Linked DNA regions of Caenorhabditis elegans. The protein of the gene in region 3 interacts with the protein of the main gene of each other region in a pairwise test. Each region holds a gene or a part of one and is shown on either strand. Other genes may lie near its edges.

The links.
Region 1: the proteins of mrt-2 (region 3) and hpr-9 interact in a two-hybrid assay, tested with the Caenorhabditis elegans proteins (3 studies listed by BioGRID).
Region 2: the proteins of mrt-2 (region 3) and pcn-1 interact in binary tests that used the Caenorhabditis elegans proteins (3 or more experiments, as listed by UniProt).
Region 4: the proteins of mrt-2 (region 3) and hus-1 interact in a two-hybrid assay, tested with the Caenorhabditis elegans proteins (5 studies listed by BioGRID).

The regions. Positions count from the first base shown.
Region 1 is NC_003281.10:10,618,641-10,628,691, forward strand, and holds hpr-9 (Cell cycle checkpoint protein hpr-9), read left to right. Parts: upstream 1-2,910; 5' UTR 2,911-2,916; coding exon 2,917-3,028; intron 3,029-3,077; coding exon 3,078-3,148; intron 3,149-3,201; coding exon 3,202-3,327; intron 3,328-3,375; coding exon 3,376-3,490; intron 3,491-3,538; coding exon 3,539-3,644; intron 3,645-4,577; coding exon 4,578-4,983; intron 4,984-5,779; coding exon 5,780-5,835; intron 5,836-5,888; coding exon 5,889-6,071; intron 6,072-6,089; exon of another isoform or gene 6,090-6,177; intron 6,178-6,231; coding exon 6,232-6,303; intron 6,304-6,738; coding exon 6,739-6,946; intron 6,947-7,291; exon of another isoform or gene 7,292-7,407; coding exon 7,408-7,507; exon of another isoform or gene 7,508-7,508; coding exon of another isoform or gene 7,509-7,583; coding exon 7,584-7,594; coding exon of another isoform or gene 7,595-7,616; 3' UTR 7,617-7,758; downstream 7,759-10,051. Other genes in the region: lron-10 (eLRR (extracellular Leucine-Rich Repeat) ONly), read right to left, coding at 321-655, 1,520-1,568; swt-4 (Sugar transporter SWEET), read right to left, coding at 7,509-7,616, 7,908-8,021, 8,211-8,378, 8,901-9,034, 9,091-9,177, 9,720-9,797. UniProt on the Caenorhabditis elegans protein: May be a component of the 9-1-1 cell-cycle checkpoint response complex that plays a major role in DNA repair.
Region 2 is NC_003282.8:4,044,526-4,051,015, reverse strand, and holds pcn-1 (Proliferating cell nuclear antigen), read left to right. Parts: upstream 1-1,567; 5' UTR 1,568-1,580; coding exon 1,581-1,739; intron 1,740-1,786; coding exon 1,787-1,900; intron 1,901-2,374; coding exon 2,375-2,893; 3' UTR 2,894-3,079; downstream 3,080-6,490. Other genes in the region: wrt-5 (Warthog protein 5), read left to right, coding at 349-495, 562-671, 718-823; cdc-73 (Cell division cycle protein 73), read right to left, coding at 3,527-3,858, 4,710-4,997, 5,537-5,621, 6,024-6,288. UniProt on the Caenorhabditis elegans protein: This protein is an auxiliary protein of DNA polymerase delta and is involved in the control of eukaryotic DNA replication by increasing the polymerase's processibility during elongation of the leading strand.
Region 3 is NC_003281.10:11,742,929-11,751,740, forward strand, and holds mrt-2 (Cell cycle checkpoint protein RAD1 homolog mrt-2), read left to right. Parts: upstream 1-3,837; 5' UTR 3,838-4,034; intron 4,035-4,115; 5' UTR 4,116-4,120; coding exon 4,121-4,219; intron 4,220-4,290; coding exon 4,291-4,446; intron 4,447-4,505; coding exon 4,506-4,646; intron 4,647-4,694; coding exon 4,695-4,775; intron 4,776-5,957; coding exon 5,958-6,047; intron 6,048-6,193; coding exon 6,194-6,313; intron 6,314-6,931; coding exon 6,932-7,048; 3' UTR 7,049-7,247; downstream 7,248-8,812. Other genes in the region: gbf-1 (Golgi-specific brefeldin A-resistance guanine nucleotide exchange factor 1 homolog), read right to left, coding at 8,700-8,801. UniProt on the Caenorhabditis elegans protein: May be a component of the 9-1-1 cell-cycle checkpoint response complex that plays a major role in DNA repair. Promotes DNA double strand break-induced cell cycle arrest and apoptosis, thereby playing a role in genome stability.
Region 4 is NC_003279.8:3,696,170-3,702,711, reverse strand, and holds hus-1 (Checkpoint protein), read right to left. Parts: upstream 4,611-6,542; 5' UTR 4,601-4,610; coding exon 4,549-4,600; intron 4,493-4,548; coding exon 4,430-4,492; intron 4,385-4,429; coding exon 4,032-4,384; intron 3,958-4,031; coding exon 3,880-3,957; intron 3,828-3,879; coding exon 3,626-3,827; intron 3,576-3,625; coding exon 3,490-3,575; 3' UTR 3,412-3,489; downstream 1-3,411. Other genes in the region: msh-2 (DNA mismatch repair proteins mutS family domain-containing protein), read left to right, coding at 5,177-5,360, 5,408-5,643, 5,720-6,173, 6,220-6,542.

The DNA.
Region 1 (10,051 bases), 1.1 Mb from region 3:
CGAGTGTCATTTATTGAAAATTCTGGAAAAATTCGATTTTTCGCGTTTTTCGTTTTTTTTAATCGTTTTTATATTATACCGCAAAAAATAATGTTGTGCCATGAAAAATCGGTTCTTCAATTTTTTTTTTGAAAATATCGAAAAATCAAAATTTTTCGTATAATTTTGTACATTTTTTTGTTGATTTTTCGGAAGAAAATGTCTTATTTTCCCTGATTTCCCATAATTAGAAAAAAAAACCAAAAATCGAAAATTTTCGCTTTTCTCTGAAATTTGGTAGTACTGTTATTTTTTCTATTTTTCAAATCTTTTTCGCGAACCTTATCAAGATTATCACACTGCAACGGCTTCTCATTATCACAATCCGACAAAACTGGAATATCCTTGTGCAAATGCACCAAATCGGAGCAATTCAACCGAGTATTTCCCTGCACATCAATTCCCTGAAGATCTGGGAATGATGCTTTGATCATGCTAATCGCCGGAATTGTGTCAATGTCATTGCAAGTGAGTGCCAGGAAATGGAAACCGCGAAGTGGTGATGAATGGGGCAATGGGAAACGATTGAGACCAACGCCATCACATCTGATCACTGGATCATGTTCTGACAATTCACACGTACATCCGTCCAGGCATGGAACTGATCGGCAGGCAACTGAACATTTTGGAATTTTAGATTTATTTTAACTAGAATGTATTAATTGTTTTATGTGTTTATTTCGTTAATAGGCACTAATCAGAAAATAAAGACGGAGAAGAATTTTTGCTTTAAATGCTAGAAAATATACTTTTTAAATAATTTTCTAAATGTTTTCAGTTTTTTTAAATTAATTTTTCAACTACTAGATGTTCTTTTTTAATTCGGCAGTATTCATTCATTTTTCGGAAGCAAATTCCATTCCATTGATTGACTTTTACAATTGTTCATTCAATTTTTTACATGACTCACATGAATTCACTATGATGAGTAATTCAAAAAACAATCCAAACTAGATTCTAGATTCCCAGAGTTCACTTTTTAATGTATCATCTCTCAATTCACGATGATGTGTCATAAAATAGCCGCTATGTTTGTATAGAGACTCCGTTCGTGTAATGTTGCGTAATTAAAAATCGTATATACGCATACATAGACGGTGATGATTAAGATTACAGGTTCTTAGCTTGTAAAATTGAAAAAATGACGTGTTGTAATTAAATACAACTTTAAAAATGCCTATGAAGATCCAAATTGAAATCGCGAAATTTGAATACGATTCAGAAATTAGTGGCTTTTAAAATCATGTTTTAGGATAGAGAGTTTCGGCTTCAAGAATAAGTTGTATAATGTTAATGAATTAAAAATGAAATACCTAGTAAAAAGTTACAGCAAATAATTTCCCGCAAAATTACTTGAAGATGGTCTCTTTTCTATGATATTTTTTGTGAGAAATTTTTGTATAGTTATGCATGTGATATTGTTGTATAAATTGGATTTGCTTTTTCGATGTATTAATTTTTTTTAAACTATGTATATTACCTGCCACAAAGAGGAGAAGAAGAAGAAATGCAGATGTGATGGAGGTCATGCCTAAACGAAACAAAAATGAAATATATATCCAGAAGGAGTGTATTGGAAAAGCAAACAGAGACCCAAAGAGTGGACATGGCACATTCAAACAAACAATGGAACAAAATGATTGTTGGGCATTTTGGATGAGAGAGTGATTCATATCAATAGAGACGCAGATGTGAAAGGAGAAGGGGTGGTTTAATCGATTTGGATGGGGGTCCGGTTAGTTTACAACCACAGTTTACAGCGTAGAGGTACTTGAAGTGGAATGCCATTTTTTTTTATGTTAATGGGATTTTAAGGTATTTAATTTGAAAATTTTGAATGGTCAAAAGCAGGGGTAAAAAATTCCGGCAAATCGGCAAACCGGCAAATTGCCAATTTGCCTAAAATTTTCGTCAAATTGTGGTTTTGCACATTTTTTTTTGGAAATTTCAGAATTTCAATTTTATCGGCAAGATTGTACGCATCCTATGAATGTTCCTACATCTATTTTGAAAATTAAGGAAATTCTATGAAAATATCTATAGAAAACGGGAAAACATTTCAAAAAGGCAGTTTTAAGTGCTTCCGACTTATAAAATAATCCCTTTAAAAACTTCCGGAAAATTGATATCCGGCAAATCAGCAGTTTGCCGATTTGCCGAATTTGTCGACAAAACAATTTGCCGAACGGCAACCCACCCCTGCAGGGCCCTGCTCAAAAGTACTACGATTAAATTATATAAAATCGACTTTAATTACCGAATTTAGGAATAATGATTTCGATTTAAAATACCCAAATTAGTCTGAAATTCAGAAATTCCACAACTTGAGTAAGCCTAAAACCTGAAATCTAAAAAATTTTTCCACGAAATTTGAGATTTTTGATGCTCCAGGAAACCTTTAGCCTGAGGAATAAAGAATATTTATTGCGTTTTTTTTGGAAAAGCGGGGTAGAAGAAGAAGAAGAAGAAGCGGATATGTGTGAGCAATGAAGAGGAAAAAAGCACATGACACCGAATAGTTTGGAACAAAACTCCATTTATCATGTCCAGCGTACCTCCTGACGGATAAAAAGAACGATATATGACGCATCGCTGGTTTTTCTTTTCGTCTTTTCATGTTCTGCACGGGATACCGGTTCTCTTGTGGAAACACGAGAATGCATGCGCCGCGGGAAAGAAGGGAAAATGTCAGAAATCACAAAACAAATCAAAATAAAAAATAAAAAATCGTTCGAGAGGAGTCCGCAGCGCATGGCCTAGCGACGGGGGATTCTCGTCCGTGTACTTCGAGAGGAAAACTTTTTTATTCAAAATTTTATTCTGAATTTCAATTTTTCTCTTTAAAAACCTTGAAATTTCAGGGAAATCTCAAATCAAATGCAAGCCATTCATGAAAATTATACAGATAATCCATCGTCATCAATAACAAGGGAAAGGCAGCATGAAGATATGAAAGGCGCCCAATTTGTGGTCCAATCCAATCTTAAAAGTGACTTTTTCTGGGTTTTAGCCGGATTATTTATTTATTTTTCTTTCAGTTATGTCAAGATCCATCGCAGCGCTGAGCAAAATCTCTGAAGACGTGTTAATTGAGGTTTCCGAAGGCGGGGTGAGTCAAAAGTCAAATTTCGGCTAAAAAATTATTTTTTTGTTTTTTTCCAGCTCTTCTTCAAAACAGTGAACCGTTCAAAGTTCTGCGTGTTCCGCTTTGCACCAGAATTTTTCAACGCTTGCGATGTATCAATGATTAACAAAAAAGCAGTGAATATTTGCAGATTATCGATGAAAGTGGGGAGAAATCTCAGAAATTTCGGCAAAAATTTAATTTTTTTTCAGTCAGCTCAGCGTATTTTCAAGGGCGTCGCGTTCGGGGAGAAGAACTTTGTTGGATGTGAATTTCGAATCGATCCGAAGGCTGAACGGATGATGGTGAAGCTTCAGATGAATTATGGCAAGAAAATTAGCTGCAGAATATTCGAAAAATTGGCTGAATTTTCAGATATTGAGCGAACAATTCACGCAAAGCTTCGAGAAATGGGATCAATGCTTCATAAGCCAACATATAATCGTTCTGGATGTAGAAATATCACTGTCGTTTTTGCATCGTTAGTAAAAAAAAATGAAAAGTCGCGAAAAAAGTTCTGAAAAATCTGGAAAAACTCGAAAATTGCGGATTTTTCCAATTTAAAATCAGAATTTATCGGAGAAAACTCAAAAAATAGAGTTAAAAACCAAAAAAGTCAGAAAAAAACATTTCTTCTTTCAAATACATAATTAGTTTTGCTCTGTTTCCATGAAAAATTGTTTTTATTTCAAAAAAATCTACGGAAATGGAAAAAAATTCGCTGAAATCATGGCTTTTGGTCCTTTTTTTAGAAACCGAAAATTTTTCGATTTTTCAAAAAAAATTAGGCATTTCCTTAATTTTTCTGGTTTTTTTTAAAGAAAAAGTATTCGTTTTGCTATCAAAATCAACATTATTCCAATTTTTCGATTTTTTTTCCGAAAAAAACAGAAAATTCGAAAAAAATTGATTTTTTCTGGTTTTTCCGGAGAATCATAATATTGAAAAAAAAATGTTCAAAAAATCAACAAAATAATCAATTTTTAATGGAAAAATAAGGAAAAAGGCCAACATTTTAAGCTATTTTCGAAAAATCGGTAAAACAAAAAAAAACGAAAAATTACCGATTATTCAAAAAATCTAACAATGTTCGATAAAAAATGTTTTTTTTTGTTTAATTTTTGAAATTGAAAAAAAAAATGCTCAGAAATTCTAGAAAGTTAACAAGAAATTATTTAAATTTGTTCAAAAATAATAAAAAAAATTTCCAAAATTTCAAGATATTTTATTCAAAAACTCTATTTTTTTCCCCAAAAAATCTGAAAAAAAACGAAAAATTACCGATATTTCGATTTAAATTAAAAATCGAAAAACCGACACCCTTCATTAGAACGAAAAATATTTCCTGTCTAAAAAATGTTTTAAAAAATTAGAAAAATTCAAAAAAAAAATCGAGAAAAAATCCATATTTCAGAACGCTTCTCCCAATCTTCGTTCAAATGAAAGGTGACATTGAAGTAACAATGAAAGTAACAGATGATGGTCTAACAATTCGAAATTTCCATTCATTGGACGGTGTTACAATGTTCAACATGGGAGTTGAAAAAGGCGCCAAAAAAGTAAAAACTGAGACAACAATCACTTGCGAGAAGCTCACCCGGCACAAAATTCAGATTCCCGTCGAATTTTCTTTTTCGATTAAGGAATTTTTATCGATTGTCACATTTGCCGATCAGTTGGGATCAGAAGTTTGCATGTATTATGATCTACCAGGAAAACCGTTGATTGTATCAATTGAAGCTCATCCTAATTTTGATATTGAGCTGGCGTTGGCTACGATGGGAAGTGACGATGAAATTGACTTAGATGGAGGCATTTTGGTAAGGAAATAGAATAGAGATTTTATCAGAAAAAATCGGAAAAAATTGATAAGAAAATTCAATTTTTAAATCTAATTTTGTTTATATTGATGAGAAAAAAAAAACATTAAATTGTCTTATAAAATCAAAATGTTTTCTGACTTAGAAAAATCGAAAAACCAAAATTTTTCGATTTTCCGAAAAAAAATCTTTCTCAAATTTTATAGAAAAAGAAAAGAAAACAGATTAGTGAGCAATCGAAAAATTATTTTTTTTCCTGAAATTTTCACATATATTTTTTGTTTTTTTTAAATATAAAAATATTTTTTAAAAAAGTTTTTACTTGAAAAAATGCCTAAAATACTAGCTTTTAATCCTTTTTTTTTTGGAAAGGCAAAACATTTAGAAATATTTTTTTATTTTTGAAAAAAATAAAAAATTTTTAATTTTTCAGTTTTTTCAGATTTTTCTGAAAGAAAAAATATTCATGTTGCCATAAAAATCAACTTTTATTCCATTTTTCGATTTTCTCCAAAAAAAAACATCGCAAATTCAAAAACGGCACCACTTTTTTGTTGAAAATTTATTTTTCAAAAAAAAAATGGTTTTTTGATTTTCCGGAAAATCATTCAAAAAAAAAGGAAAATCTCGTGTAAAACTACGGATTTCGGGCATTTTATCCAAAAAAAAAAGTCACTGGAAAATCCTCTTTTGAAAAAAAATCTCACTTCTCCTCGAGGAGTACACGGTCTGCGTAAATCGACACATGGCCAGTGGAGCACATTTGCATCTTTCTGTTCAAAATTATATTTTGCAGAAAGAAACTATGGCGCAGCATGAAGAGGAGGAAGATAAATCTACTGCTCATTCATCGTGAGAAATTTTTTTTTTGAAAAAATTATTTTTTCTACGAAAACTCATTCCAGAAGCTCCCGCCGAAAATCAAAAGCAATTGACACTTCAAGTTCAGGAACTCAAAAATCAAAAAAATGCTCCGAATCACTGTCACAAGAAGAAACTACTCGCTCGCAATCCCTTCCCAGCAGAAACCGCTTCGTTCCAGAAATTCCAGTCGCCGAGCAATCTTGGAGAGATCGTGAAGTGACTGTGTAAGTATAAAACCCGCAAAAAAAATTCGGTGCCTCATGCTGGAATCGAACCAGCGACCTTCTGTTTACTAGACAGACGCTCTGCCACTGAGCCAATGAGGCGCGTCATTTCTGTCTCCGTGAAGGCCGTTAGATGTCTCTTGACAATCTTTGTTTGCAGGTATGAACAACGAGAACCGTCTCCTGATCTACAAATTGTTGAAGAAGTTATGGAAATCGATAATCAACCGATGTAAGGCTGTGGAAAATACAAAAATTGAATTTTTCAAAAAAAAAATCCGATTTCTTTTTGATAAAAAGACAAATTTTGAATTTTTCCAAGAAAAAAACAAAAATAGATTTTTTTTTTTGATAAAAAAAGACAAAAATTGGATTTTTTAATTAAAAAAATTAGGTTTTATCCTAAATAAACAAAATCTGTTTTTTTAACGAAAAATATTTTTTATACAAAAAATGACATTAAAAAATATATAATTTATGTTTTTAAGTTTTTTTTTAGAGGAAAAAATTACGAAAATTTAAAAAAAAAGAGGTTTCATATCAAATATTAAACGAAAATAAATTAAAATATTTCGGCCGTTTTTAAATTTTTGCTAAATTGAAAAAATTTAGAAATTTTCAACCAAAGATTTTCGATTTTTTTTCAGAAAAAAAAACCAAGTTTCAGAGTCACCAGAACAATAAAAGAAGAGCATTCCGTAGAACAAGCAATGCAAGATGTCAGTATTGAAACAATTCCTGTAGAGACCCCCGAAGAAAATATAATTCCCGTAGAAGTAGAAATGCTAGAAGAACCTGAACAAGAAGATCAAGAAATATTCAAAATTCCCCAGCCGAAAAGAAGAAAAACCGCCGAAGATGACAGAAATAGAAAGGTAGAAAGTGTTTGTTAGGCTCCGCCCACTTTTTGGCTCCAAAAATACTTTTTTTTTAAATGAGTTATGAGTTCTTCTGATTATTTCGTAAAAAACCATTGAAATTCGAAAAAAAATTACGTAAAAGGCGGAGCTTAATTCTTGTCGGAAAGTTGGAGGGTTTGTTAGGCTCCGCCCATTTCTTGGTTTCAATAAAATTCTGATTTTTTTTTGAAAATGTTAAAGCTTTACATTATTTAATATCATTTCTCTATTTTTTTTTTCAAAATTCAGTTCGTTTTTCCAAAAGTTTTCCAAAAAAAAGAGGATGTTTTGGTACAATTTTCTACAAAAAAAACTGAAATATAGGAAAATATAAATAATTTATTAAAGGCACATCAAAAACCCAACAAAAGAGATCTCTATACACACACGCACAAAAACATTCACAGAATGCCAAAAAAAATCGATATTTCTTGCAGATTCGTCGAATTCTAATGGGAACTGAAACGACGTCTAAAATGAGAATGAGCCAACAATTCGACAAGCGGCTTGGTCCATTGGTTTCGGATACTCAATATGGTTAGATATGCTCATATTTCTGCGGTAGAACACCTGCCGGAGCACCCGGATAAATGATAAATAGTGAAAGTTGCAGAATCGAGATGACCGTTGCGATGACGTTTGGCACCTGCAAGGATAACGGGTTTTTGTTGGAAATGATAATTTGTTTGTTTTTGAAAGTTCAATTATTTTTAAAGCTCGTGTGTAATAATTTTTTTAGTTCATGAAAAAAATGTTTTTAAACACTTTTAAAATGAAAACGATACATCATTTTTCGACTTCGACAGGGTTCTCTGAAATTCAAAAAAAGTGTAAAATTAGCCATTTTAGCATAAATTTTACATTTTCCAAAAAAACACATTTTTCGAAAACTACAGTTTTGTATTTTTCGACAAAAAAAAAAGAATAACCCAATTACCAATATCACAATATCGTCAACGATATATCCATAAAACATCCATTGAAGACACACGACGAAACACGCGACACATAACGGCAACGGAAGAGATTCACTGGATTTGTTACGGACCACCTGAAAAAAGTTTGGAATGAAAATTTCAAGTGTCTAATTTGGGTTTGATCTTCGAGAATTGCGGGAATTTGGCTTAAACCAACAATTCCCGCATTTATTGTAGATCAAAGCGTGATGGAACAGCCTGGCACCACGTACGCAAAAGAATACCGTATTACCTCTATCAGTGTCCCAAAAAAAATCAATTACCTTTCCAATATCGAATAACGGCGCCGCCACACTGCAAATATTCAGAAAAATGCAATAATTGCCGACATATGTCGTTTTTGTGAGATGACTATTTGTTGAATGAGCCACCCAATAGACGACGATTCCGATGATTCCAAGTTCAATACTGATCACTTTATTCAGGAAACGCTGAAAATGATGTTTATAATTCAGATTTGCTTGCAAAAGTGGCGGCTTTTCGAAATGTTTATTCGAAAAACGGGAGAAAAAATTCAATTTTCGATTTTTTCTAATATTTCTAATTTTTCATTTTTTTCAAATTAAACTTTCTCCCAAAAATCAAAATTACCAGAGAATGCGTATTGGGCAACATATTTGACGCGCAAAATATTTCGCAGCGAAAACTACAGTAATTTTTTAAAATGACTACTGTAGCGCTTGTGTCGATTTACGAGCTCAACTTTCGAAACCAATAACTAAAATAATTGATTTATCGATAGAATATTAAAATTAGGCAACAAAAAAATAAATATTGCTGTCACTATAAGAAATTCATTTCAAACAATCGAGCCCGTAAATCGACACAAACACTACAGTATTCATTTAAAGAATTACTGTAGTTTTCGCTACGAGATATTTATTTTGCGCGTCAAATATAGTGTGCAATACGCATACTCAGGTTTTAGTGTTCCCGTAATAATTCTAACTTACCCGATTTCTTGTCATGTAGTAAAAGTACATAAGATAACACGCCTGAAGAAAACAGCCGATTCCGTTGCAATAAGTGATGACGTCATCATCTTTTAGAAGACCGTATTGAATGAATAATCCACATGACAAGAATGCTGAAATTTTGGAAATTCGAAATTTCAGCTTTTTTGTGGGAAATGGAACAACTTACACAAAAGAAATGGGGCGGGGCTTGTTCCTTCCGACGAGCCACGTGTCTTGATGCGATGGCAAATTTGGAGGCCGCACAGGAAGAAAGCTGGAAGAGTTTTTCCTGATTTAAGTTGTTTCGCCGTCAAAAAATCCTAAATTACGCGCAATGGGTCCCACCACGAACAATAGTTTTTCACCTACCGTACTCGCAAGTACGAAAAAAAGTTTTAAATGAACTGAACTTTTCTTCGATATTTAAATTTTTTGTGAAATTTTTAATTAAATATTTTTTAAAAAGGCATAGGCAATTAGAGATGAATCGCGAATCTACCGTACTAGGGGGTACGGTAGACAAAACGTTTCAGTCGTGCCAGGACATTGATTCACTTGTGGCCTAGGAAACACGATGGCCGAGTTTTTGTTTTTTCTAGGCCACCGAAAAATAATAACCTGTATTTAAAAAAATTTTAAAGCTTAAGCTTTGAAAAAAAGTTGCTTCGCCAAATTTTCACTTTTCTTTCCGATTTTTTTGGAAATTTCTAAGAAATTAAATTAAAATATAAAATTTAATTTTCTGGAGAAAAATGATTGAAAATTTTTTGAAGCTGAATTCTCGTTTAAAACTTAAAAAATTTAGAAAAAACTCACCAACAGTCGATGAAAGAGCCGTAAATGATAAATACGGTAATATTGTCTGTCCCAAAGAAGTTGTCATATTTATTTTCTCTAAAAAATATGTGGAATTATATGGAAATCGAATTCCAAACGACAAAGCACCGATGGAAAAGAGAAGAGACGCAGGGAGGTTGGGGCAGTGAGAAGAGAGTGCGCGAGGGGAAGAGACGCAGACACGGGAAGTAGACTTTGATTGTAAAGACACACAACAGGAGAACGTGGAAACTCCTAGTGATCAGAGATCACTTTTTATTATTACTCATTTGAAAAGAGACTCAAAAATACGGTACCCGGTCTCGACACGA
Region 2 (6,490 bases), on a different chromosome or scaffold from region 3:
CCGTGCAAACACCGACTACAGTAACCCAAAGCACTGGATTTGACGCCAAATTGCACGAAATGTCGCAAAATGGCTCCAAAATGCGAAAATCTTACCGTTTCTAATTGATTTTTTGATATTTCATCAAATTATTGTCGAACGTTTTGAAAAACGATTTATTCTTAGCTATTTAGCCCATTTTTTAATTAATTTTGCTTACTGTAGCCCCGTTTTTGTGAAAACACCGGCTACCGTACCCCAAAACACTAGATCTTGCCACAAAATGCACAAAAAGACGAATTTAGGGTGAAAAATCGTGCAAATCCTAGTAAAAATCATGAAATTTATCATTTTCTCAATTTTTTCCAGGAATGCCCGGAACGAGCGACTTCAACGACATGCTCCACCAATTCCTCGTGGGTCGGGGGAGTAACTCAACATTCTGACGGAAGTCTGCGGCTTATGTGTTGTGAATATGACCTTCTTCCCACATATTCAACGATTCAGTATGAGAAAGTAGGGATTTTTGGCGGGAAATTTGAAAAAATTGGGGGAATTTTTCATGAAAATCCAAATTTCCAGCTTACTATCCGCACTGGCGAGTATTTCGAGGGCGATGAGCAAATGGAAGGGGATGTTGTGACGGCTTTTGACCTGATTGGCAATATTGAGCAAGTCAAAGAGCCCGATGGGTAGGTTTTTCTCGATTATTTCAAAAATTTTGCTCGGTTTTTGCAGAAAATACTCCTACAATCTCCTCATCTACCGCTATCATTGCGGAAATATTCCCGACACACCGCCGGCATGGTACATGAAGAAACAGTGGCCGTATTGGGAAAAATGAACGATTTTTCGGCGGGAATAATTTATTTTTTTATGTTTTTCTATGCGTTTTCGGGTGTTTTCGGGTTGCTAAGCGATTGGTTGCCTTTTTGAATCACTAGTCTTGGTTTTTGTTGTTTCTGTGAATGAATAATTGGTTTTTCGAGGTTTTTTTGTCAAACATGCCTAAAAAATAAATTATGACGTTTTAGTTGATTTGTTTGTTCTTTAAACGTCTGAAAATAAGGTTTAAATCTAATTTATTAATTATAAAATTCGTCAAAATAAGTTGCGCGTCAAATTATATGTATTGTACGCAGTGTCAAACTCCAGGCCTCAGTTTTCATGAATTTACCAGCGATTTTTGTTATAAATTTTTTTATTGAAATTTAAAATTTTTATTTTTCAACCAATTTGCCTCGAAAATTCGTTATTTCCCCATTAAAAACCGCTTTTCTAAAGTGTTGCGCGTCAAATAAAATGCCTGGTACGCAATGCACGGAGAATGCGCAAAGGACGACTGCTGGCGCACTTTTTGAATGCGGTAAATTGAGGCGCGAAGTTTCATTCGAAAACGCGCGCGAAACTTCATTCATCGCACTTTCTCCGTTCATTTCGTCCTATTTTTTTGTGGTTTTTCGCGATTTTTTCGCTTTTCTGAGTGAAAAAATAATTTTCCTTCGTTTTTTCAATGAAAATCCGCGGAAAACCCATTTTTTCCCGTGAAAATCCGCATTTTTCGCTGTATTTCATAATTTTTATTCAGATCTCCCGTCAAAATGTTTGAGGCCAAGCTCGCCAACGCCGGACTCCTTAAGAAGATCGTCGAATCGATCAAGGATCTCGTCACCGATGCTCCATTCGATTGCTCCGAGACGGCGATGAGCCTTCAGGCTATGGACTCGTCTCACGTCGCGTTGGTTTCGCTCAAGTTGGAGGTAAAATTGGGAAAAATGAAGAAAATTAGCTAATTTTCCGTGTTCAGGTCGGCCTTTTCGACACATATCGCTGCGATCGGACCATCAACCTCGGACTTTCGTTGGCTAATATGTCGAAGGCGCTCAAGTGCGCCAACAACGACGATACCTGCATGCTGAAGGTGATTGTAAAAGCTTTAAATCGAAGAAATCAGCATTTTTCACCTTGAATTGTGGATTTTCATGCGAAAAATCGCTTCATTCGGACTTTTTCGCCCGAAAAATCCGAAAATGTGGTTTTTCGGTAGTCAAAAGTGGCAAAATCAGTTTTTTTTTTCGCACTAAAAATCATTGAAAATTAATATTTTTAGAGACTTTTAGGCCGAAATAGTCTGAATTAATCATTTTTCGTTCTAAAAATTATTAGAAATTCACATTTTTGGCGGAAATCAGCATTTTTCACCCGAAAAATCACTGGAAACTCAAATTGTTATCGATTTTTATGCCAAAATAGTCCGAGTTTTCCATTTTATGCCTTAAAAATCATTAGAAAACAACATTTCCGCCTGAAAAATCATTGAAAATTCAAATTTTTTATCGATTTTTCCCCGAAAAATTCCAATTTTAAGCCCAAAAATTACCAATTTTCATTGCAGTATGAGGAAAACGAAGGCGACTCGATCATCTTCACATTCGCCGATCCAAAGCGTGACAAGACCCAAGACGTGACAGTCAAAATGATGGACATTGACAGCGAACATCTCGGGATCCCGGATCAAGACTACGCCGTCGTTTGTGAGATGCCTGCCGGCGAGTTCCAGAAGACTTGCAAGGATCTGTCGACGTTCTCCGACTCGTTGAACATCACCGCCACCAAGGCTGGCATCGTGTTCACCGGAAAGGGAGACATCGGATCTTCTGTCGTCACCTACTCCCCATCTTCCAACACTGACGATGAGACTGAGGCTGTAACACTGGAGGTCAAGGATCCGGTTAATGTGAACTTCTCGATCAAGTACATGAATCAGTTCACCAAGGCGACGGCACTTTCCGACAGAGTTCGTCTCTCTCTGTGCAACGATGTTCCGGTCGTTGTCGAGTATCCGATCGAGGAGAATGGATATCTTCGCTTCTACTTGGCTCCAAAGATTGACGACGACGAGAATATGGACTAAATTTCCCCTCAATTTCCGTTAAATTACTCATGATCTCTCCCTCTCTCCCGCTAATTTTCACCTAATTTTTTGGTATATTTCTAATACTTGTGCTATACCTCTAATTTTTTTCTCACTTTCTGCTTTCTGAATCGCACTACTCCCCGAACTCTTTTGAAGAATTTTGACAAATGAATTTAACTTGGGAATTCAAAGTGTCTAGTTTTGAGCCAGTAATCATGAAAAAAAAAAAAGCCGCGAAGCGACCGCTCCGCGTGGCCAATGGAGCAATATTTCGAAAATCCTAGAAGGCAATTTTGGCCAAAAAACGAAACAATGTTTAACTGGAAAATTTGAATTTTTCTCCAAAATATTACCTTGAAAATTCACGAATTAAAAAATTTGTTGCCGCGACGCGACCGCGCCGCCTGGCTGACGAAAACTGACGAAAATTGGGCAATTTTCCGCTTGAAAATCGAATTTTCTCCACTCCAAAAATGACGATTTCGCCACGTGGAAAATGATTTTTTCGCTAAAAATTTGAATTTTCGATTAAAAATTGTTTGAAGAAAAATGGCATTTTTAATAAAATCAAAAGTGATGAATAAATAAATTTGCAAAAAATGAAGAAAAAAAGAAAATTTCCGAGAATTTTCAGAGTCCAAGACGGGCGGTGAGATGTGGCTTGTTCTTGCGTACAAAATTCTCGATTGTCTCCCAAACTTGACTGAATCGAGCCTTATCCATGTGCCGTTTCGTCGCCGAGACTGGAATCTTGTGTACATTCCACTGCATCACTTGAGCCACCGGCTTATCCTGGTCGACGTGGAAATGGAATGCAGGAATGTGGGTGAAGATGTCCGTCGGATTTCCATTCCATTTCCAGCCTTTGAATTGCCACGCGACACCCATTACGAAGACGGCGATCACACGATCCCAATCATCATTGGCAAGCTTCTCGGCATTGTCGATTACGCGGATATTGTCTGAATCAATTTCAAATTTTAGGTTAAAATGGAGTTTTTGTTTTTTTTTCGAATTTTTAGCTTAAAATCGGTTAAAAATCCCAAAAAATACCATTTTTGCAGCGAATATTGCCTGAAACGTCTAGTTTTTTCGAAATGTTTGGTTAAAATTGAGTATTTTCGAAAGGTTAGGTGAAGATTTCAGTTTTTTTCTCGAAATTTCAGGGTTTTACGCTTTTTGCTCAAATTTCCAAACAAATTTTGAAAAATTGCGTATTTTTCCAATTTTTTAGCTTAAAATTATTTTAAATCACTTTAAAAAGGACTTTTTCGAGAAAAATCGAATTTTCAAGTCTATTTTCAAGTTTTGTGTAATTTGTCGTAAATTTCGGTGTTTTGGGTTACTGTAGTCTGTGGTCGCACAGATATGGGGCTACAGTACCCAAAATCGTCTCATTTTTCAAGTTTTTAAGTCAACATTTTCCATTTTTGCGCAAAAACCGGTGGATTTTACGATTTTCATTATTTTTGGGTTAAAATATTCGAATTTTCGCGTAAACAATCGTAAATTTCAGGCAAAACGCAAGTTTTCGAGAAGGATTTGACCATTTTCAGAATTTTGTCGTAAATTCAGATGTGTTGGGTTACTGTAGTCGGTGATTGCACAGAAATGGGGCTACAGTACTCAAAACCGTCATTTTTCGGGGTTTTTTTCGTCGAAATGTTTAATTTTCAGCATTTTTGGCTCAAGAATTTCAAATTTTTCCAATAAATTCAGATTTTCAAGCACAAATCTTAGTTTTTCTCATTTTTTGGGTCAAAATTTCCAAATTTTCGCGTGAAAAATCGCATTTCCAGCCAAAAAAACGCACAAGTAACACCATTTTTCTGCCGTTGAATAGCCAAATCGACAGGCTTCTTATTCGTCTCTTTTCGTCGCTGATCAACAGGAACATAGCTGAAATTCTGCAGAATATCTCGAACATTGTACAAATTTATCATCGTATTCATTGCCGACGGAACGATGATGATCGGGGAGCGAGACGTCCGTTTTGAGCCATTTTGAGCTGCTGATGAGCCTGATGACGTGGCAGTTGATGACGTCAGAAGCTGGATGGGCTTGGCGAGTGGAGGACGGCCTGGGGGAGCGTCGGGTGCTTCTGGAAAATTGAAAATTTTGTGAAAAATTGGCGTTTTTTACATTTTTTAGTAGAAATTTCAGAAAAAAAACCCAGATTTTAGGTCAAATTTTATGAATTCTGTGCAATTTGTCGTCAAATCCGACGTTTTGGGTTACTGTAGTCGGTGTTTGCACAGAGATAGAGCTACAGTACCCAAAATCGTCATTTTTCATGAAATTCTCCATTTTGAAGCAAAATTTCTGAATTTTTGTGTTAAAAATCACATTTTCCGGCACAAATTGGTTTTTCACAGGTTTTTAGTGAAAATTTCATAAATTTTCCGAATTTTCAGCTTTCCAGATCAACTTTAATGAAAAAAAAAAGCATTTTTTACGAGTTTTTTCAGTCAAAATTGGTGAGAATATTACAAAAACCCGGATTTTAAGTCAATTTATGAAGTTTTCCAATTTTGTTTCGAAATGTGGGAATTTTTCGGTGTTTTTCGAATTTAGGGTCAAATTTTATAAAATTTCTGATTTTTTTGAATTTAAAATTGCAATTTCTCGGATTTTACGAACTTTGTACCGCATGATGTCCCTGCTTGATACTGCTGAAATTACTTCCAATAAAAGAGCCTTCCGTTTGAATTTCCTTGGTTTTTTCCTGAAAAAATTGAATTTTAGTAGATTTTTGGACATAATTTCACTGAAATTCGAATCTTTTCTCAATTTTTCATTTATTTGGATCAAAATTTTCGAATTTTTGCGTGAAAAATCGCATTTTTACGTCAGTTTTTGAGTTTTGTGCAATTTGTCGTGAATTCCAGTGTTTTGGGTTACTGTAGTTGTTGTTTGCACAGAAACGGGGCTACAGTATCCGAATTCGTCATTTTTAGCGGGTTTTTGGTGAAAATGTTGAATTTTTAGGAAAAAATTGCCGGTTTTCACGAATTTCATAATTTTTGGATCAAATTTTCCGAATTTTTGCGTGAAAAATAGCAGAAAGATCGATTTTTCACCAATTTTTCTCAAATTTTCACATAGTTTGGGGAGGGGGCTCCCTTACATGAGCAAAAGCTTCCTGAGCATATCTAGAATAACCGGAACGTTGCTGTTGTCCACCAGCGGCTCCAGACTGATCTTTCGAGAGATTCGTAGCATGAACAGCCGCCACTTTTTCCTTTTTCTCGTTTAAATCCCATTGCCGTTGGGCTGAAGTGATAATATCGAGCACATTTGACAAATCTCGAGCTCCCAACATGACATTTTCACGGGTTTTGTGGATTCGAGTCTTCGGAAGTGAGGCTGACGTCAGTGTGGATAGGGATTCACTGAAAAATTGAAATTTCTTGATCAGAAAATCAGGTTTTTGAGGAAATGTTGTCCTAGAAAATCGGGGTTTTCGGATTTTTTTTGCATAAAAATTCTATATTTTTCAGGCTTTTTTTAAAAGAAAAATTGGCCGATTTTTGGAAACTTTTCGGTGAAAATTTAGAAAATTACGAGATTTTCAAACTAAAAATCGACTTTTCG
Region 3 (8,812 bases):
CTTGAAAAGAAGACATATTCATTTCGCAAGAATTTCGATGTCAAGGGTAGGATGTTGAAGGTCGTATTGGGTGAATCATTGAGGTATAGGATGAGATTGTAAACATTTTTAAATAGATTGTAGAAATTTTTAAGTTTTTTGAATCTTGTGGGGGCTAGTAAAATCTGTTTTTAATAAATTTTAACGAACATTTTTTATTTTCTTCATGAAAACTATCACAGGTACACAAAATTCTGAGAATGCGTATTGCACAACATATTTGACGCGCAAAATATCTTGTAGCGAAATCTACAGTAATTCTTTAAATGACTACTGTTGCGCTTGTGTCAATTTACGGTCTCGATTTTCGAAATTGATTAAAATCATTCATTTATCTATACACATAGTGTCAGGCTGTCCCATTACGGTTTGATCTACAAAAAATGCGGGAATTTTTTGCAGAAAAAAATGTGACGTCAGCACGTTCTTAACCATGCGAAATCAGTCGAGAACTTTGCCCGCATTTTTTGTAGATCTACGTAGATCAAACCGAAATGGGACACTCTGACTTGTTTTATGCTAGAATCCTGCAAAATCATGTGAAAATTTAGCTATTTTTAAAGAAAAATAGCCTAAAATGACCGATTTTCCGCAAAAAAAGGCTCAAGAACATTTTTAAGTACAGTAACCTTAAAGGCGCATACCCAAAATCGCTACTTCGGCACGTAAATCGACTGCAGTATCCATTTAAAGGATTACTGCAGTTTTCGCTACGAGACATTTTGCGCGTCAAGTATGTTGTGCAATACGCATTCTCAGAATTTCAAATTTTCTTGAATAAAAACCAAAAAAATCAATACAACAAAACCCAAAATCTGGTGTGTTGCTGGTAGTATTCTCTGAAGAGTAAACTGGCGGGATCTACTTTCACTAAAAGCTTTTTTCGTCCGAAATCCCAAATCCAATTACATTTACTCCTCATCCCCGCCAGCGCCACGTCACATCGCCTTAACTAAATTTTAATTTTAATTTGGAAATTTTCAAGTCTGATATCCGTGCCCCGGGTGCAAGAAAAGTACTTTTGTAGATTAATTCTGGCCACCCGGACCGGTCAAATTCAATGACGAGACTTGAGAGAGAGTGTGTGGGATTTGAGAGACGCAGAGAATAAGAACGAATGGGGGATAATTGTCCACCTCGAGAATTATTGTGTACGCGCGGAAAACTGGATATGTTTCTTTTTCAGGGGTTTTTTAAGAAGGATATTTGATGGGACAATGGAGAAAAATCGGGAAAAAGGGATTTACAACTGGAAAATTCAAATTTTGCGCGTCAAATCTGGTGCATTGAATTTTTCGCGCTCCATTGACAATCTCCTGCCGGAAAGGACATTTTCCACGTGGAGTACACGGAACGTGGCCTAGAAAACTTTTCTCGGGTTTTCACGGGGTTCTGGCCTTCCTCATTGCATTTTTTGTACTCCACGCGGACAAATGCATTTAGTTTTACAACTAAAATCGAGCCGCGACGCGACACGCAACGCGCCGTAAATCTATCCCAGATATGGCCGAGCCAAAATGGCCTAGTTCGGCAAACTCTTCCATTTCAATTTATGAGGGAAGCCAGAACTCCGTGTCTGCAGAACCTAAAGATTTTTAACTCAAAATTGTAGAAATTAGGCTAAAATTGCACTTCAAGCTGAAATTTAAAAAAGGAATGCACTAGATTTGACGCACAAACGTTAGAAAATTTGAATTTCTCGGGTAGTGCAAAGAATTGTTAAGTTGAAAAAAATGCATCAGATTTGACGCGCAAATCTTGAAATATTTGCTGACATTGAGTTTTCACAGTTTTTTTTTAAATAAATTAAAGTTTTGATTACTTTTGATTAAATTTTTCGAATATTTTGTCTGAAAGTTTCACGTGATGTCAGAGTGTCTCATTTCGGCTTGATCTACGTAGATCTACGAAAATGCGGGAGTTGAGACGCAGAGTTTTCAACTGATTTCGCATGGTTAAGAACGTGCTGACGTCACATTTTGTTGGGCAAAAAATGCCCGCGTTTTTGTAGATCAAACCGTAATGGGACAGCCTGGCACCACGTGAAATTCCAGAAAAAATGTCTGAACCTACTGTAGTTCACAATTTAAAGGCGCATACCAAAAAATTATAGCGGGAATTAAATTTTTATTTAATAATTTTTTCAGTTACAGAGCAATTAAAAAATTCAATTTCATCAAAATTTTATAGACCAATTTTCTCGCTTTATAGCTGAGCTCCGCGAGCCAAAATAGGAAGGGGAGCACGAAAAAAAAACAGAAAAATGAGCTCGACAGAGCCCATAGCCTCAAGCGCTAACGAACCAAAAAATGCACACACACACAGGAGGCGGAGTCGTGGAAATTTCGAAAAAAAAAACAAGATTTTCTTCTCTCTCGGCTCAAATTTGAATGCGGAGCAAGAATATTACGGGAACAAAAAATTCTGAGAATGCGTACTGCACAACATATTTGACGCGCAAAATATCTCGTTGCGAAAAGCAAACTACAGTGATTCTTTAAATGACATTTGTAGTGTCGATTTACGGGATCTCGATTTTCGAAATGAATTCATTTATCATTGATCGAGCCCGTAAATCGACACACGCACTACAGTAGTAATTTAAAGGGTTACTGTAGTTTTGTTTTCGCTACGAGATATTTTGTGCGTCAAATATGTTGCCCAATACGCATTCTCAGGATTTTTTGTTAGCGTAATAAAATAACAGAAAACACAGAAAAAGGCATGAAATTTAATTTGAAATACCGCGCTGAGTTTTCTAGGCCACGTGTCGTGTACTCCCCGTGGACAAGCGGTTTTTGCCTTATTTTTCTGAAGTACAAATTCTCAAGTACAAGTAAAAAAGTACAAATTTTACCAAATTTGAGGAAAAGAACTAGCATGACAAAAATAGAATTAGAAAAATTCTAGAGAAAAACTACGGATTTCTGGCTTCCCTCATAAAATGAAATGGAAGAGTTTGCCGAACTAGGCCATTTTGGCTCAGCCATATCTGGAGTAGATTTACGGCGCGTTCCGTGTCGCGGCTCGATTTTAGTTGTAAAACTAAATGAATTTGTCCGTGTGGAGTACACGACTTTACCACGCGTTGTCCGGCAGGCGATTGTCAATGGAGCGCGAAAAATTCAATGCACCAGATTTGACGCGCAAAATTTGAATTTTCAAGTTGTAAATCCCTTTTTTCTTCCCATTGTCCCATCAAATATCCTTCTTCAAAAAAACCCCTGCGTCTCTCAGGCCATATCTGCGGTAGATTTACGGCGCGTTGCGTGTCGCGTCGCGGCTCGATTTTAGTTGTCTGGCGGGCGATTATCAATGAAGCGCGAATAAATCAATGAGGAAGGCCAGAACCCCGTGAAGATCCAAGAAAAGTTTTCTAGGCCACGTTCCGTGTACTCCACGTGGAAAATGTCCTTTCCGGCAGGAGATTGTCAATGGAGCGCGAAAAATTCAATGCACCAGATTTGACCACGCGTCGTGTACTCCACGTGGAAAATGTGGACACTAGGGATCTACTAAATGCCTGGAAAATCGTAAAAATCTCGAAACTTCCTAAAGAAAAAAAAAGCAAATACACAAAAACGCATTGATGTATGAACAAATTGCCCTCCCCGTCTCCCACCAAAAACTCCCAAAAATTGCTCTTTTTTCATGTTTATATGGGGGACCGCGGGATTTCATAATAGCTCCGTGGTCCGCTCAGCTCATCCGGAGCCAAAAAGAGCACACACACACACGCACACATAAAAGTTGTAAACTAGTTTCGAGCAAAAATGATACGACGGATGAGTGTGTCACGCAATCAGTGAGCTTCTCTCGCTTTCGAAAGAAAAATCTTTTTCGCAAAAAGAAAAAGTACTTTACACTGGCCACAGTGTAAAATAAGGGTGAAAAGATCGAAAATCGGAGGTTTCAAATTTGAATTTCCGCGCAAATGAGAGGGACGAGGTGCGATGGCCTACAAAACTCCGCAGGTGTACTCCTCTCGGAAAACGGTGCGAGAATTAATTTTTTAATTTATATTTAATTTTCAGCGATTTTTCTCAGTTTTCCGGTTAAAATTTAAATTTTTTCAGGAAAAATGATGGAATTAGAAACGGGTCAATGCACAATTATGGAATTGAAAAAAGAAAATGTGAAGGAGCTCGCGCAGGTCTTCAAAACCGTCGCTTTTAAGGATGTTAGTGTTGGAAAATATCGATATTAATTTCATTTTTTTTGAGAAAAAATCTAAATTTTTCAATTTTCCAGACAGGAACGTGGCACGCTTCCGAGGCGGGCATGAAGATCACAGTCGACGATGGATCCTATCAGCTGGCCAGCGTTTTTATCAATCCGGCGTTCTTCTCGAGTTTTAAAGTTCGCGAGGAGATAGTTTCGATGAAAATCTCGATTAAATCGATTTCTGTGAGCCTTTAAAAGCCCATAAAAGCCCAAAAAAGTGGCAAAAAACAAAAAAATTCCAGGAATTCCTGAGCATTTCGGAAAACTCGTCGAGTTCTGTAAAAGTCTCGTATCCGGGAATGTTTCAGCCTGTGAAAATGCTTGTTGAAGACGCAGACGGATGGGTGGCACGTGGCAATTTTACAACAACGCTGGCAGATCAAGTTCGCCGGGTTTTCGAAATTCCTAGATTTTTTTTTGTCTATTTTTAGGAGCTCGACTTTGAATTCGATGACGCTGGTGTGCTGGCGACCTATCTGCTTAAAACTCAAGTTCTCAAGGAGATTATCAAGGTTTTATCATTGAAACCTTTAAACATTCGAAAAAAATTTATTAAACTCCAGACATTTTCCAAAAAAAATTTTTTTTTTTGGATTTTCGAAAAAAATGTTTTTTTTTTGAAATTAAATAAAAAACTTTTTTTTTTACTTTTTTAGTGAAAAAACAAAAAAAATCGGTTTCCCTTCAGAAAAATCGGTGTTTTTCGGTTTTTTTCATATTTTAAAACATTTTCTGAATTTTTTTTTTGACTTTTTGGAAAAAAATTTTTTTTTGGATTTTTTCAAAATGAAATAAAAAACTACTCGAATGTCGCAAAAACAAAAAAATTTCTTTTTGTTCTGACAGATTAACATTTTTTGGTTTTTTTCGACTCCAAAAAAAAATTTCTGAAAAAATTAGCTTTTTTGAAAAAAAAACCATTTTTTTTTAAATTTTTTAGTCGAAAAACGAAAAAAAAAATCGGTTTCCCTTCAGAAAATTATTGTTTTTGGGTTTTTTCCCACATTTTAAAACATTTTCTGAAAAAAAACTTTTTTTCGACTTTTTTGAAAAAAAATTTTTCGGTTTTTCCGATTTTCTAATTTTTCAACAAAAAAAGACGAAAAAAACCAGAAAATTCCGAATTTTAGAGCCAAAAACGAACATTTTCCGTTTTTCAATTTTGAAAAAAAAAACGTTTTATTTTTATTTTTCGATACTTTTTTGTCGAAAAACGAAAAAAAATGTTTTCCGTTCAGAAAAATCGGTGTTTTTTGGTCTGTTTTTCATATTTTAAAACATTTTCTGAAAAAAATTTTTTTTTCGAATTTTTCATTACTTTTCAAAAAAAAAATCCGTTTTTGATTGAAAAAACCTTGATATTTTTCCGATTTTCTAATTTTTCAAAATTAAAAAAAACCAAAAAAAAAATCCGAAAATTCCGACTTTTTGAGCTAAAAACGAAAATTTTCCGTTTTCAATTTTGGAAAAAAAATTTTACTTGAAAATTCGATTTTCGCTTAAAAAGTAGTTTTTATTGTTTCAATTTTTCGAAAATAAAAAAAAATCGATTAAATTGCAGAATTTCCAACCCAAACCCAAAAAAATCGACGTCCAATACTTATGATTTGACGCGCAAATTCTAAAATTCAAATAAAAATTCTTATTTTTGCATTAAAAAAATACGAATTTTTAATTTTTTTTCTCTATTTCAGGACTTCGATGACACAAGCCGAACGGTGAGAATTCAATTCACCAAGAATTCACTGTGTTTCACGACTTTCGGTGATGTTGGCGAGACTACAGTAGGATTTTTCAAATTGAAAATTAAATAAATTTTAGGAAATTAAAAAGAAAAAAATTTTAATTTTTTAACTCAAAAAAAAAAAAAAAAAATTGTTTTGAAAAAATATTTTTTAAAAAATTAAAACCAAATTTTTTATACTTTCAGGTATCAATACCGTCTCGAAGCCTTCAAATGGAAAGTGTAAAGTGCCTTGAAGAAGTTGAATTTAGCTATCTTCTGTCGCTTATTCAACGAATGACTACCGCCTTTATACTGGCTACAAAGGTAGTTTCTGGAAAGAAATTTAGCCTATCTGCTAGATTTTTCCTAGTTAAAGTTATCATGGTTCCAGGAAAAATTCATTAAAAATATGAAAAAATTGGGGGAAAAAAAAAATTTTTTTCGAAATTTTTTGAAAAAAATCTGAAAAAATTTGTGAAAATTATTTTCACTATAATTTTTAATTTAAAAAATTGAGCCGATTTTTTTAGAAAAATAAATTTATTTGTGAAAAAATTAATTTTCCTTTCGAAAAATATTTCGATTTTTGAAAATTTTTTTAAATTTGAAAAAAAAAATTTTCATTTTTTTTTCAAAAACAGAAAAAAATTTCGAAAAAAATAAATAAAATGTCTAAAGCATTTTTAACGATTTTTCCAATTTTGCAACAAAAAATATCAACATTTTTCCGTTTTTTTCCCCGAAAAAAAACCCCAAAAACTCCAAAATTGGCCAAAAAAATCGAAAAATAAATTAAAACGTTATGCTCCAAATCAAATTTTAGTTTCAAAAATCGAGAAAAAATTAGAAAAAATGTTTTTCTTCGAAATTTTTTTTTCAATTTTCTAAAAAAAAATGTCTCGAATTTTTTGATGCAAACTTTACAATTTAAGTTTTTTCCAGCTCATCCTCCGTGTCGACGAGCGTGGCGTCCTCTCCTGTCAATTTTCAATCGATCACGGCGAGGGAAACGCAAGCTACATTGAATTTCTGACGGTGCCCGCTGATGAAGAAGAATAAAATATTATATACATTTTTAATTTTTTTTTAATGTTCGATCCCCGAGTTTTGCAACAAGTGTACCCTCATCTCCCGGGTATAAAAACCCGAAAAACTGCACCGAAACGCACGCAAAAAAAATTAATATTTTCTTCTTTTTCGTGCTTCTTGCAATTCTCGCTGTTGATTTAAATTTTCAAATAAATATTGATTTTTATTACGAATATTGCATTTTGAAATGAGAAAAATTTTTAAAAATTGGGTTTTTTTTCAGTGAGTGTCTCGTCGAATAAAATGCTCGGTACGTAGTACACCGTCACGTCAAAATACACAGAATCGTGGATTTTTTTCAAAAAAAAAACAAGGATTTCTGGCTTCCCTCATAAATTGAAATGGAAGAGTTTTTGCCGAACTAAGCCATTTTGGCTCAGCCATATCTGGGGTAGATTTACGGCGCGTTGCGTGTCGCGTCGCGGCTCGATAGTAAAACTAAATGTATTTATCCGTGTGGAGTACACGACACTTTCCCATGCGTTGCCCGTCGGGCGATTGTCAATGGAGCGCAAAAAATGCAATGAGGAAGGCCAGAACCCCCTGAAAAATCGATGTGTTTTTAGGATTTCTTCAAATTCTAATTAATTTTTAGAGTTTTTTGCCGGCAATATTATGTGGAAAATGAATGCAAAACTTCTTGTAGCCCTAAAAATCCCCAAGTTTGTGTATTTTTAAAGAAAATTAAAGTCTCCTGCCGAAATTTTCAATAAATATTGATTTTTATTACGAATATTGGATTTTGCAGTGAGAAAATGGGGTTTTTTTTTTGCAAAAAGACTCCGTAATTGTTGGAAAAAAGACATATTACAGGAACACAAATTTCTGAGAATTGCGTACTACACAACATATTTGACGCGCAAAATATCTCGTAGCGAAAAGAAAACCACAGTAATTATTTAAATGATTACTGTAGGGCTTGTGCAGATTCACGGGCTCGTTATTCGGAATTAATTAAAATTATTTAGGGATCGATTAAGCAAAAAATTCCTTCGAAAATCAAGCTAGTAAATCGACGCTACAGTAGTCATTTAAAGAATTACTGTAGTTTTCGCTACGAGATATTTCGCGCGTAAAATATGTTGTGCAATACGCATTCTCAAAATTTTGTGTACCCGTAATACCTCAAATCGTTCATTTTCGCCTAATTTCTGCTTTTCTCAAAAAATTTGAATTTTCCGCTAATAGATTTCTTAGAAACTTTGAATTTTCCACCAGAATCCCGCTCTAAAATGTGGAAAAATCTTTTAAAAAACGTGGTTTTCATTACTCAAAAAAAAAAAATTTGAATCGAAAGAAAAATGAAATAAATAATAATAATAATAATAAAACTTTCTCGGGGTGGGGGTGGAGGGACTTGCACGCATAATAAATACAAGAAGCAGTAAATGGGGAAGGGGAGGAAATTTCAGGAAAAAAAAATTAAAAAAGGGGAACCATAGGACACACAAATCATTCTAACCCAAGTTATTCGACTATTTCTGTGCTGAAATTTCAAAATTTTCAGATTTTTTCGGGGGGATTTACTTATTTAATTTAAAAAAATGGATGGAGGGGGAATCGCGGAGAACATTCAATTATCACAATGCAAAAAAAAATTAGATTTTAATTTTTTTTTAAATTAAGGCTTCTCCTGTTGGCTCGGATTGTAGGGAATCGGGGTGAAATACGGAGAATCTGCTGACGTTGTTGTTGGAGCAGATGGAGCAAGAGCAGGAGCATTCTGAAAAAAAA
Region 4 (6,542 bases), on a different chromosome or scaffold from region 3:
AGTTGGTATCTTTTTGTTATCTTTAGTGACTGTGGAGATGTGAGCCCCAAAAGATGACCAAAATATTCTAGATCTGTGCTCAGCTATATCTCGGTTCTCGATAGAGATGAAAAAATGATTACAACTATCAAAATGTTTATTGCTTTAAGCTTTAAAAGGCTGTAGTTAATTACTTTTTGATATCTCGTTTCTAGAAAATGATACAACCGTTTTAAGACAGGAGGTTTTATTGTTCAGTGTCCCAAAGAATTCCGTTTTGACTCATCGAAAGCATCGAATTTTGCAAGAAAATGCTTAGAAACAACAAAGTAAAGATATTTCTACAATATCTCATAAATATTTGATACTTTTTGAAAAAAAATTTTAAAGCTTTTTTCGAAAAAAAAAATCGAAAGGGTCCCTCCTTATGAAAATTTTCAAAAATTTTTTCGAAATTTTTTTCTGAAAACTTCTCAAATTTTAATTAGATGTTATACAAAATTGCAATGTTTGTTGTTTTTTTGAGTTTGGATATTCAGCACACAAGCTTAGACAAAAACCGGAGGTATAGTAGAACTCTTATGTTTAAAAATCGCATTCACTTTGTATGCTTATATCTTACTGGAAAAATTTTTTATGGCAAAGTGATCAACTACAAAGTTATTTATCTTAATTAAAAATACAACTTTGTAGTTGATCATTTTTTATCAAAAAAATTGGTGGTTGAGATAAAGTTGTGAGAAGTGCCGCAACTTCATGCTTGTATTTTCTTTCTCTTTCTCTCTGTATATCTCAACCACCAAATTTTTTGATAAAAAACAATTAACTACAAAGTTGTACTTTAACTCGAGATAAACAACTTTGTAGTTAATCACTTTGTCATAATAATTTTTTCCACGGAGATATAAGCATTCGAAGTGAATGCCTTTTTTGAACTTAGAGGTTCTACTAAGCCTCAGGTGTTCGTCTGAAATCGTGTTCTGAACGTTCAAACTGAAAAAAAACAACCGACATCGCATTTTTCTGAAAGATCTGATCGTATTTTGAAAAGTTTTCAAAAAACAATTTCGTAAAAATTTTTGAAAATTTTCATAAGGGGGGACCCTTCTGATTTTCAATGCGGATCATAAGGGGAGACCCTTATGAATTTCAAACATCCAAAAAAAAATTTTTTTGAAAACTTGCTTCTAAATTATCAGATATCGTAGTAAATTATATCTACTTTATTTTTTGTCAATTTAAACATTGGGTAGAACGTTTTTAGCTGAGAAAATGACTATTTCTTGAAGCATTCGAAAAATAGTATAAGTTTTTGAAGCCGTGAGTTTCCTTGGGCATAAAAGATATCATAAAACGATCAACAACAAATTTGTTTAACTAGTTATGGAGAATGTTTTAAAAATAAAAAAATGTTTCCTATATGTGTAATGTGCCAAAATATGGCTTGTCGAAGTCAGTGCTGTTTTGCTCTTTCTCAACTGCGCCCATCTTCTCGAACATGCAAGATAGAAACATATTGCCAACTAATAACTTGTTGTTCAGTTCATTTCTGACAACTTTTCAGTTGAAGAAAATTTTGTATTTTACGTCTCAAGGATGTTAGGAGCTCTCAAACATACTATGTTTCAATGACCCAACTCTAGACTTTCCATGATTTTTTGGCTGAACATTCATTGTGAAATCTCACACTTGTAGAAAATATCAAACTGATCATTTTCTACACGTTCAACATGTTTTCGAAAAAATTTTCAAAACAAAAAAATTTCATCAAAAATTTTATATCATAAGCCTTATGATTTTCGAAATCTGACAAGTTCCTTCTAAATCGAGAGTTTTGTTTTTCAGAAACTTTAGTATCAGCAAAAAAACAGTCAATAAACAGAGAACTCAAACAAAAATAGCTTTAAACTAACTGAAATGAGCACTTTAATGATGGGAATAACGGCCAAACAAAATGCGCACATTGCGAGCGTTCGCATTGTGCCCATCGGCGAGGCATTATGCTCGTTTCTGCGAACGCTTCGCAAAAACGCACATAATGTGAGGTCCTCGTTCGCAAACACGCGCATAATGGGTCTTGAGGCATTATGCGTCCGTGGCGAATCACCTGTGCATTGAGGGGAGTTGAACTTGTCCGTCGCTTGTCGTTGAGTCTATGAACCATTATCTTACCTGTTGAGCCATCCTGTACGTGTCGCATCTAGATTTAGTTATTGCTTAAGTAAATAGTTGATGGGCGCACGTCCTTTTCGTTACTTTTGATGGGAAATCAGTGACTTTTCGCAAATTTTCTAAGTGTCAGAGCGAAATTGGATAACTTTCTTTGAAAGCGAATGTGGAAAAACGATTTATTTGTTATGCTTTTAAAAATGTTAGAATTGCAATTTTTCCGAATTTTTGTCAAAGAGAGAATAACATTTTATTTTTTCAATATTTTATTTCGCTAACAATTTGATTAAAATGATGAGTATACTGGGAACATGCTTGCTGTTGACAATATTTTATGATTTCAATTGAAATCAGAAAATCTCAAACGCATCACGCGTGAATGAATAGTTGTAAGTCTACTTTAATATATTCGACCAATCTTCGTGATTGTTTGACTGAATTTATAATATGACCGGCCAATTATCTAGAAAAAATTACATGAGTGGACAGATTTGTGAATTCTGTGGCTTTCTCTGCAAAAACTCCTTCTACAATATGCAACGAAAAATCAAATATCCGTTAACAGTGAGATACTCCATTATATAGATTTTCATGTAGCTGTTTTTTACTTTGAAAAGTCTTTCATCATTTGGAAGAAAAGAGAATTTAGAACGGAACAGTAATCATAATTGTTGTATATATATCACGATCATGTGAAGCCGATGGGAATTTGGAAATGATGTTTTGTAATCTTTATGGACTGCAAAAAGATTGCAAATTAATCTTAGAATATTACACATTTTTTTGTAATATTTTTAGATTTCAGAAAGATTGCGAACCAATCTCAAAAGATTGCTATGTCATCTCAAAATATTACGAATTTTTCGTAATATTTTCAGATTCAGAAATATTGCGAATCAACCTCAAAATATTGCTCAATCTAAAAAGATTTCGAATAAGTCTCGGAATATTGCGATTTTATCTTGAAATATCACCCAACTACAAAAATATTGCTATTTAATATTTTCATATTAGATTTGAGTTGCCTGAGTTCCAGCAATTTTAGAAAAAAAATTTATTTTTCAACTTCCTCTTGAACTTCGGCTATCAAAATAAAAGTTTTTTCAAGCTTATCTTTTTTTTGGAATTTTATACAGTTTATCAAAAAATAAATGTTTAAAAATTCGCTTGAAAAACTTGATATTCTGATTTTAAACTTAATTTAAATTAAGATGCTTTGAAAATCAAAGCCAATAAGCCAGTTGATAAATGGATATATATTTTAAGAAATAAAAAATTTATTTGCAGAATTTATGAGATCTAGAAAATTAGGCATTCAAACAACGACAAAAAACATTATTTCTAATCCGAAACATTTCCAACAATATACGAAAGAACGCAATCCTCATTGTGAAAATTGAATTCTGCCATTCGATTTGAGATGATATCTGGAAAATTTTTTTTTTGTTAAAAATTATCAAAATATTTCCGATCCTACTCATTTTGGCACGTGTCCGAGTGTTGGCGAAACTTTGAAACAATGGAGAAATATTTCGAATCATTAATTGAACTTTTGCAGTATCCTCTTGACTATCGGTTTCCGATGGATTAGTTTGAAGATCCGAGAAGCTTACATCAATCTCGCCAGTTTCAATTTTCGTAGAAATCCTCAAATCTCCTGATGTACTGGCTGTGAGCTTCTGGATGAAATTAACTTATATTTCAGGACTTTATTTGTGTATATATTATTACCACAACTCGAGTGTTCATATTTTTGAAGACGTGTAAGAAACGGGACATCATTTTAGGAGGTGGCATGCTGATTGACATCTGTAAATATATTTTTTCAATAGAGATTAAAAAAATTAATGTAAAGTTATAATTATCATCATAAAATCGTTTACTTTTCTGTGTCCAATTGACGGCCTGGAGTACGAATTCCAATATTTTGATAGAATAATTGTGATTGGAATTTGATGAGAAACAATATCGGCTTCTGGATTTCTAACTTCGACAGACAACATTGGCTCATCTTTTTGACTTTTCGATAGTTTCAGTTTCAGATAACAGTGTCCGCCGGGCAGAACACGTACTAAACTATCGATTTCCAATTCAAAATAAATCAAATTTTGCTCTTCGTTTCGTGGATTCATGCCAACCATATCGAATTTTCGGAAAATTTGACTGCTATAGGGAATTGATAAACTGAACCAACTTCCACCATCATGGAGTCCTGAACAGCAAATAAAGTTGAGAGCTGAAAGTTCATAGAATTTTATTAATAAAACAGGATTTTTAAAACCATTCTTTTCTATTTTGACGCAGCATCTTTTCTTACTCAATTTGCTCACTGATGTCAAAATTTCTGAAAGACAATTTTTTCAGATATTTCATAGATTTTTTAATAATCAGTCTGCTCACTGATAAACACGTCGATTGCCGCAGTATCTTGGAGAAGAGAACTGAACTTCATTGTTTGAAACCTAGAAAATAGTGAAAATTAGTTAGAAAGAGAAGGAGACGGAGAATGAAAAAGGGAAAATCGCGCGCGATGGAAGAAATTTGAAAAAAGACTTTACTTTTGATATTTTTCGAAATTTTTTAAAATAATTATGTTTAGAGTTAAAATTGCAAGGAAAAATGAAACAAAAATTAGTTTAAAAATAAAAACCACCGTATCTCTTTCCCTGCGAAACCAATTCACCGTATTATTGTATGTGCCTTTAATCTTTAACAGTAAGCATAACATGTGATTTTCGCCTTCTTTTTATTAAAATCTAAATTATTACAGAACTTTTAAATAATTTGATTATATTCTTTGTTTAATTTTTAATCATTTAAATTCAATTTAGAAATGCTAAAAATCCCAAAACAATGAGACACTATTTCCCTGCAGGACCATTTTACAGAAATACTGTATGCACCTTTAATTTCTTTTCAAAAGTAAGCGGCCTTTCTGTCGAATCATTTTTCGTTGATGAACTCTTTTTTCTTCACTTTTACTCTATATTATCACAAAAATTCGAATTTTTCAGCGAAAAAATCGAAAATGAGTGGAGGAAAAGACGAAGCCAGCGACAAAGCGCTCCTAAAAATCCTAAAATCTAAATCACCGAACACAATTGCCATTTTCTCACGAGGCGAATACTTTTCTGTGTATGGCGATGACGCCACCTTTGTCGCTACTAACATTTTCAAGAGTGATGTTTGCGTCAAAACGTTCACTTTATCAAGTAAGACTCGAAAAATCAAAATAAAATCTGTAAATGTGAAATTTCAGCCGACAATTCTCAACAAATGAAGTACATTTCCGTAAATCGTGGACAATACGAGAAGGTCGTTCGTGAAACCATCGTACTGCTCAGATGCTCCGTTGAGCTATACTCGAGTGAACAGGGAGAGTGGAAAATGACGAAGCGTGGATCTCCAGGAAATACTGTGGATTTTGAGCAAGAAATTGGAGTGTCAGATCAGGCTCCGATTCTTGCAATCTATATTCATCCAGGAGATGATGATGTATGACGATTTTTATAGATTTTTAGATTTAGAGATTTATAGATTTTTAGATTTTTAAATTAATTCCCAATTTCAGAATCGAGTAACATTGTGCGCTTGGGATGCTGGAAATGTTCGCATTGTGATCAGTGAATACATCGATACTCCTTCTTTTTCTCAAACGGAACAATGCATTTTTGGACTATGCCCCACAGAATATATTCTAGTGAATGAAGGATCAGTTGCACCGAAGGCTAAGAAAATAGCAAGCATGTTCACGAGAATGGAGGTTCACAACAAGCAACAGCTGAAGCCAAAGTCACAATGGAGCGATGTAATCGAGTCGGTTCATCTGGATTATAAAGATGAAGCCGAAAAACAAAACGAAAACATCAAGGAATGCCTTCAAATTCTACACTCGAACGCAGCCGATGAATACAGTATTTCTGAGAAGTATAGTATTTTCAATTACGGAACTCATGGAAATATGCTGATTGATTCATGTGCTGTGGAGGCTCTGGAGCTTTTCCAATTGAATTATAATTATTTGGGTAGAGTTATAATGTTACATTTTCCTTGAAAATAATTTAATTTCAGAGAAATCGAATAATTTGACGCTCTACAATGTTTTAAACAAATGCAAGACTCTTCCTGGAGAGAAGTTGCTCCGTGATTGGCTTTCTCGTCCACTTTGCCAGATCGATCACATCAACGAGCGACTGGATATTGTTGAAGCTTTGTTCGAGAATCAGACAATCCGTCAGAAGCTCCGCGATTCCATTCTTGCAAGAATGCCAGATTGCTCTCAACTAGCTCGTCGTCTCATGAGAAAATGCACTCTTCAGGATCTCAATCGATTCTACCAAGCTGCAACTCTTCTCGAGACTGTCGAAATGCAATTGATTCAACTTTCAGAAGCT